Linked DNA regions of Drosophila melanogaster. The protein of the gene in region 2 interacts with the protein of the main gene of each other region in a pairwise test. Each region holds a gene or a part of one and is shown on either strand. Other genes may lie near its edges.

Region 1 (3,192 bases), 7.0 Mb from region 2:
ACAGACATTTGCCGCTCGATAAAGTGACTTAATAGCAGGCCTCGAGGAGCAGGGAGCAGGGTCTTCCGGAGTTGGGGTACCACCATATTCCGTATGATTCCCATTCCCCTCGAGATGACCTAATTCGCTTCTGTTCGAGGAACAAAGGCAACCTAAATACTTGTCATAATAAAAATTATTCAAAAACCGGCATGTGTGCATGGCGCTTCCTCCTTCTACTGATGGATTTTATTCCATTTTTTTTTTTTTTTGGAAACTTGAGCCCCTAATGTTGTTGGCAATCACGTGTTCCGACTTCGATTCACCTCGTATCATTTGACCCCTCTTCCATTCTGAATACGAGTATATAACCCCCTTTGGAGATCGAGCTAGAAGCAGATGCACGCATTTCTGATTCTGGAATCCGACCTTGTTTACTCTTCTTGGATTTCAAAACAACCCAACACTAATTGATGCCCAACTTGTTGATGAACTCTGCCCAAAATGGGAGCACAAAAGACGCACTCACTAAGCTCTTTGCGCGATTGAATATTTATTTGTTAATTGAACTGCTCCAAAGTTCTTCAGAGGTTGGTGAGGGCATTCTGTGAGGGGGTATTACAATTCGTTACACATCAGATTAACAATTGTTCTTAAGGACCACTTACAGCCAGATCGCCTAGGCCAGCATTTAGCTGCTTTATATAAGGGGCAGCTGCATCTGCAGCAGCGGCAATAGTCTTCGCACTCACGGCCTGCAAATCAAGTTTAATTAGTATAACTCATATGGAAATCATGAGATTCGTCGAAGCTTACTCCTCCTTTGGCTATAATAGAAGCACCATTGGACTAAAAAAATGTAGAATATTTTATTAATTCAATATTATAAGTTTTAAAACTTCACATACCGAAAGACTGCGAGCCTGAGGTGCGTTCGTCATCTGAACACTAAGACTGGTAATGGCATTCTATGAGCAGAAAAGAATGAGCTTATTCTTGGAAGTTTCCAACGGACTTTCCAGATCTGTTACTTACAGCCAAATCTCCAAGACCAGTGCCCACTCCACCCAGAACATTGCCCAAGAGATTGGTGGCCTCGGGTTGCATATAATCGTTATCCACTCTTAAACTAGTAAGGGCGTTCTGCAAGAATATTAAATATTTTAGGTAAACATCAAACAAATATAAATACAGTAGAATACAGCCAGATCACCCAAGGCGTTTCCCATGTCGCTTAGAATGTTCAAAGTGGTTGGCTGGACAAAATCCGATTGAGAGCTGGCCACAGCGTTTTCCAGTTGATGGATGACCTTCTCCCCAGCAACAGCCACTTGGGACACATCTCCCATCAGGGACCCAATGCTGAGAGTTCCAGCTCTTGAATTTTGGACCATCAAAACGATGGTGAAAAGGGTTAGAATTGTAAAAGACTGCATGTTATTGCTTTTCGTAATATCAGAGAATTACTGAGTCCCTTCTATTAGCAACACTACATTTATAGGCAATTCTTATCGTTTGGCTTATGTGGGAGTTAACGACTTCTTTGACGCCGCCAATAATAACGAATCACACATGAGTGTTTCTTGATTCCCAACTGTTTGGCGGTAAGTTTCGATTCTGATTGATGGCTCATTTGATTTAGTTTCAGGGTTTTCCTTACGGTATCTATAAAGTGATTTAATCTATAAACGACAGTCTCAAGTAGGTCCTAGTCACAGAAAGCTAAAAATAAATCGACTGCAAGCGTTCAGAAGTCAAAACAGAAATGTAAATGGATTTTCTAGAGATTTAGTGCTTAAAGTATGACAAGTGTATGGGTCATTAATTTGCTCGTTCATTTATTAGGACAAATGAGTAGAAAAGTAGAGAGAAACTCTAAAATATGGAATGGAAAATGTTGCTTGCATCATGTGCAACATTTCCAGCAGCATTAGCTACATCTCCAGCTACGTTTCCAGCGGCATTTGCAACATCTCCAGCGACATTTCCAGCAGCATTTGCAACATCTCCAGCGACATTTCCAGCGGCATTTGCAACATCTCCAGCGACATTTCCAGCGGCATTTGCAACATCACCAGCAGCATTTGCTGCATCTCCAGCTACATTTCCAGCAGCATTAGCAACACTTCCAGCAACATTTCCAGCAGCACTTGCAACATCTCCAGCAGCATTTGATGCATTTCCAGCAACATTTCCGGCGGCATTTGCAACATCTCCGGCCGCATTTCCAGCTGCATGCGCAACATCTCCAGCAGCATTTGCTGCATCCCCAGCTACATTTCCAGCGGCATTTGCAACATCTCCAGCAGCATTTGCCGCACTTCCAGCGACACTTCCAGCAGCATTTGCAGCATCATGCGCAACATCTCCAGCAGCATTTGATGCATCTCCAGCGACATTTCCAGCAGCACTTCCAATATCACCTCCAACCTTGCCGGCGTCGTGGAAAATGTGTCCAGCATCACTTGCAACACTAGATGCAGCACCTGCAGCATCGTGGGCAATAGTGCCAGCAGCACCAGCAACACTCGAGGCCACATTTCCAGCAGCATTTGCTGCACTTCCAGCGACATTTCCAGCAGCATTTCCAATGTCACCTCCAACCTTGCCGGCGTCGTGGAAAATGTGTCCAGCATCACTTGCAACACTAGATGCAGCACCTGCAGCATCGTGGGCAATAGTGCCAGCAGCACCAGCAACACTCGAGGCCACATTTCCAGCACCGCCGGCTACATCATGAGCTGCCTTTCCGGCCGACTCTGCTACCTTATTTCCCACTTTGGAAGCAGCGCCATCGGTGGAACAGGTGCAAGCACAGGTAACCGAAGGATTCTCGTTGCTACTTGTTAAATCACGCTTACTGACAGATTTCTGCGAAGAACAAAAGTAACATTCGATTGTGGAATATGCACCTACATATTTATCATTGTAAAAGATATATGTACATACCTTACTGGATTGATTGGCAGATTGGCTTGCCATGGCTTTGAGTTCTGCACTGGCTGCCTCTTCCTACAAAGAATTGAAAAATATTTGAAGAATTTTAAATTGCTTCTGTTCTTGTTTAACTTACCGCTTCCTGGGACACTTGATGTCCAAAGTTAATAGCGCTATTGGAAACCTCCTGTCCCAACAAATTGCCCTCATCTCCCAATTCGTGACCAAAAATGCTGCCATCCATTCCAAGTTCCCAACCGGAGGAGGCATTTTCCT
Region 2 (4,463 bases):
TTTTCTCCTCCTCCAGCTGATCGATGGCCGTCTCAAAGCTGGCCTCGATGATGGTCTCCTTGCGGGTCTTGAGTTTGCTGGACAGGATCTTCTTGTACTCGCGCTGTCGCTTGCCCAATTCCTTGTGCTTCAGCAGGTAGCTTTCCAGGAAGGCAAGCTTGTCAAACTTCTTGATTTCCTCCATGGTGAATGCTTTCTTCAGTAGCTAACCCAAAACGGAGTTCCACCTTATAAAAGTGGAGACTTTAGTAACGAAAATCAAGCAGAATATTCGTGTTTGTATGCTTGCTTTCGTAGTGTTTAAAAAGTTGCAATATGTTTGTCTAATCACTAAACTCTAAACTCTCTGTCTAAACTCTAAATAAGATATGAATTGTATGTCAAGGCGTATGTGGCGTATATTTCATACTTAAATAGATAAATATTTAACTAGATTCATACCAAGTGTATCAAAGCCCAATATTTATGCCAATATAGGTTGTAAGTTGATTTAAATTAGGCATATTTTATGTTTTAATTAAATAGTAACTCTTTTATTCAACTTAAGAATTAAAAATTAACCAATGAAAAACTGTGAATTTCTTTTGTTCTTGAGGGTAAACCACTACTGTTGGGAAATTCCGGAGCTTTCCATGGCTTGGAAAATTTTGAATGAAGACCAAACGTAGGCGGCCCTCCGCAGATCGTTACACAATTCAAATTTGTGGGCCATCTCCTTGATGCCACGTGCTGCAGATTCCATAACTGTTTGGAGAGCCGAGTCCACGATATCCGCCTCTGTGGTGCATTGTTGTATCCTCTTAAGTTTCTTATTGGGACATATGTTCGGCTAAAGGAGAAAAGTAAGGGATTTACTATACTATACTACTTAAGGGTAAGGATGGACATACTAGTTGACTATCGGGGCATTCATGCAAAGACTCATTGATGGAGTTCATCAGTTCGATAATAAGCTCGGATGTAGATTTAGAGTTCATTTTGCCATATGACACGTGGTTAATGTTTTTGAGGTACTCAAAGTAGGATACTGTTACGCCGCCCGCATTGCAATAGAGATCGGGAACTAGGAGGACACCCTTATCCAATAGGATTTTCTCGCCAGATGGTGTGGTCGGCCCGTTGGCGCCTTCCAGGATCAGCTTGGCCTTGATGTCTTTGGCATTGTCGGTGGTTATCACTTTTTGGGTGGCACACGGCATAAGGATATCGGTTTCGGCTACCAACAAGTCCTCCTTAGACTCCTGAGCTTTTGGATATCCTTTAATAGTCTTCTTTTCCTCAGTGTATTCAAAAAGATCCTATAACGTAATGGGTTTTTTTTTCATAAAATTACCTAGAAAATGTGAAGAGCCACTTACATTAATATCTATGCCGTCCTTATTAACCAGAGAAACATCAAACTCTTTTATTCCGATGACTTTGGCGCCCGCCTCGTGCACATACTTAGCGGCAAAGGAGCCCACATTGCCAAATCCCTGCACTATGACCGTCTTGTCCTTCCATCCCGTCTTCCACTTGAGCAGATCCATCCATTCCTTATCCTTCAGAAAGAGATCGCCCGCCTTCCAAACGCCTCTGCCCGTGGCCGAATGTCGACCATTAATGCCGCCGTTGTGTACGGGCTTCCCGGTGACAATAGCCGATGAATTGATATCCTTGTAGCCAAATGTCTTCTGGTACTGATCAACAATCCAGCTCATCTCACGCGGACCAGTGTTCACATCGGGCGCCGGTACATCGATGCCGGGACCAATCATATTACGCTTGAGCAACTCCATCGTGTATCGCCGTGTGATCGTCTGCAGCTCATCCACTGTATACTTCTTGGGATCGATACAAATGCCGCCCTTAGATCCACCATAAGGTACATTCACGCAAGCGCACTTGAACGTCATAATGGCGGCAAGGGCTTTAACTTCGCTCTCGTTCACGTCCAGAGCGTATCGGATTCCTGTAGGAGATCCGATGCTTAAGAATACGCCTATAGATGAGATAAAACCACACTTACCGCCCTTGAGAGGCAATCGATGGCGTACATGATGCGAACGATAACCGCTGATGATCTCGTAGGTGCCGTTTTTGCGGACAATGGGAAAATTAACCTCCACCGAGGTGGAGACGCTCCCAAGCAGATTCAGTATAGCGGTGACACGAGCCTGACGCTCCTCCGGCTTCATATGCGGATACTTTTCCATTTCCTTGAGCAATGCAGGCTCCATAGTCTGCGCGGCCTTGTGATAATAATAAAGAACCATTTCCGAGAATTCCGGGTCCTTGTCCGTCTCAACTTTTTTCAGCTTCTCGGGCACCTGGTGTGCGGAACGTTTTAATACTTGCCTTGGCATAAGTGGGTAAATCCCATTCAAAATCCGTGCCGTATAACGAAGCATTTTGAAAAAACACAACCGTCTATAAAGTTAATTCGAATTTGGAACAAAATCAACTGATAAGAGAAATACTTGATATTTTGACCACCTTGATATATTTTCCAAAGAGAACTAAGATTTCGTTTGTATTTTTTTCATATTGGCTTTCTTTTATTGTTTTTATCTTAGCAATGTTAATTTTAGCTTTAATATTACGATGTACGCTTGTATAAATACAATATTTTAGAATTGCTCTACAAATGTATGTGTATCTATGTAATCAATATAACGTTATATTTATGGGTGTAATACGTGGCTATGCATCTACGAGCTAGACTTAAGTAGTTAATAGCTATACACACACATACTAGGTAATAAACACTTCTTGAACTGTCGATTAACGCACTAGGGAAACTATGGATCCTATGTATCTAGGATTAGCCTATAAGTATACAGATAGCAGACGATAACAAGGGCTCATCATATATGTACATACATGATAAGCTATTGTGCCGTTTTACGTTTAAAACTTTTGGGATCGCACGGAAGCGCACAGAAGTACAGAAATAAAAGGGGCTTTTTGTGGAGTGGAAAACTTAGTTGTACCAGTAGCACAGATTACAATTTAGACATACATAAATACTAGAGACCTACTTATATGCCATTCACATCTTCAACGCTATATACATGCATGATTTTGAAATGTTTGTGGTGCCCCGTGCGGGTAAAATGATTATGTACGTATAACAAAATGTTGCGCTCTAATATCACTTTTGGGGGACACATGCTTTATGGCCTCTATCAACGTTCGATCCTTGCAGCTGACATCTTCTACAGACTATGTGAGAACGAAGAAATATCATCGCATTGCACACAGAATTTCAAATTTAATTCGGTTTATCTTCAACTGGTTCTCTTGCTATAGATCGGCTTACAACTAAATCTGATGTATTTTAAATTAATTTCAAATTAATTTAAAAGTCTAATTTTTACACGGTAATTACAAGCAAATCGGTTTGACAGGTTGGTGGGTGGGGGGTTTTCTTTTTGTTTGTGTTTTTTGTGTGTGTGGGGGGGGGGGGAGTCAGGACTTTGGGTACTTAGGGGTTGGCCAACACTTTAATCTCGTTGCAAGATCGCAGATCGGGGGTAGCTGCTTAAAAGCTAACATCACGCTTGGTAAACAATAACGCTCGAAAGTATTTTGCGGTTGGTTGAGTACAATCCGTGGCTGGGCGCAGATCTCCTGGAGCTGTTCCCGTTTTAGGCAGCTTCTCCGCTGCTCCGCTGCTAATCCACATCTTTTTTCTCAATCTTAAGATCATACTTGGCCACCAGCTCCTCGGGTGTGTGCCTGTAAATGAAATTAATTGCTTTTAATAAGAATTCGATAATTCGTCTTCAATCTGTCGACTACTTACCCAACTAGATTCTGGAGATCACAGACAAAGCGGTAGACATATCGTTTGCCTGCCGTCTTGTGGATGATGTTTTTGTCATAATAGTAGCGCAGACCGCGACTCAGCTTCTCGTAGTTCATCTTCGGTTTGTTTTTGCGAATTCCCCAACGACGAGCCACCTGATCAAAATAGATATATGTTAGTTAGGAATTCAATAATAGTTATATTACAAATGGATTTACCTCATCAGGATCTGTTAGCTTGAACTCCCAGCCATCGCCGGTCCACGAAATGAAACTCTGACACGTCTTGTCCAGCAGCAATTCGAGCAGGAATTGCCACAGTTGAATGGGACCCGATCCCGTGAAGCACGGCACTCCGCCCTGCGTCGTATAGCCACCCAGCAGGCCCTTATCCAGACCCAAGGTGCTCATATACGCTGCCGGATGCTGGTGGGCATGGGCTGCTCCCCACTGATCCATGGCCGTGGGCTGGGGGCCCATCGACTGGAAGGATTGAGCATCATAGGGCGTAAATTCCGGTGGATAACCATCGTGGAATCGATTCCTGCCCGCGTAACTGCCATAGAACTCCGAGCTGCTGTCCAAGTAACCGTTGCTGTTTCCGGTGCTTCCACCGCTGGCTCCTCCACTGCCATTTCCTCCACTCGATTGCTGACTCTGGTGATCCTGCGCCG

Evidence for each region.
Region 1: the proteins of bb8 (region 2) and CG18404 interact in a two-hybrid assay, tested with the Drosophila melanogaster proteins (one large-scale study listed by BioGRID).

What each region holds. Positions count from the first base shown.
Region 1 is NT_033777.3:30,251,415-30,254,606, reverse strand, and holds CG18404 (uncharacterized protein), read right to left. Parts: upstream 1,426-3,192; 5' UTR 1,416-1,425; coding exon 1,182-1,415; intron 1,123-1,181; coding exon 1,015-1,122; intron 948-1,014; coding exon 888-947; intron 829-887; coding exon 796-828; intron 735-795; coding exon 648-734; intron 585-647; coding exon 564-584; 3' UTR 510-563; downstream 1-509. Other genes in the region: CG9682 (uncharacterized protein), read right to left, coding at 1,855-2,850, 2,929-2,991, 3,053-3,190.
Region 2 is NT_033777.3:23,287,709-23,292,171, forward strand, and holds bb8 (big bubble 8), read right to left. Parts: upstream 2,482-4,463; 5' UTR 2,391-2,481; coding exon 2,009-2,390; intron 1,952-2,008; coding exon 1,359-1,951; intron 1,299-1,358; coding exon 891-1,298; intron 830-890; coding exon 605-829; 3' UTR 509-604; downstream 1-508. Other genes in the region: wam (wampa), read right to left, coding at 1-184; pnt (pointed), read right to left, coding at 3,657-3,720, 3,788-3,945, 4,009-4,463.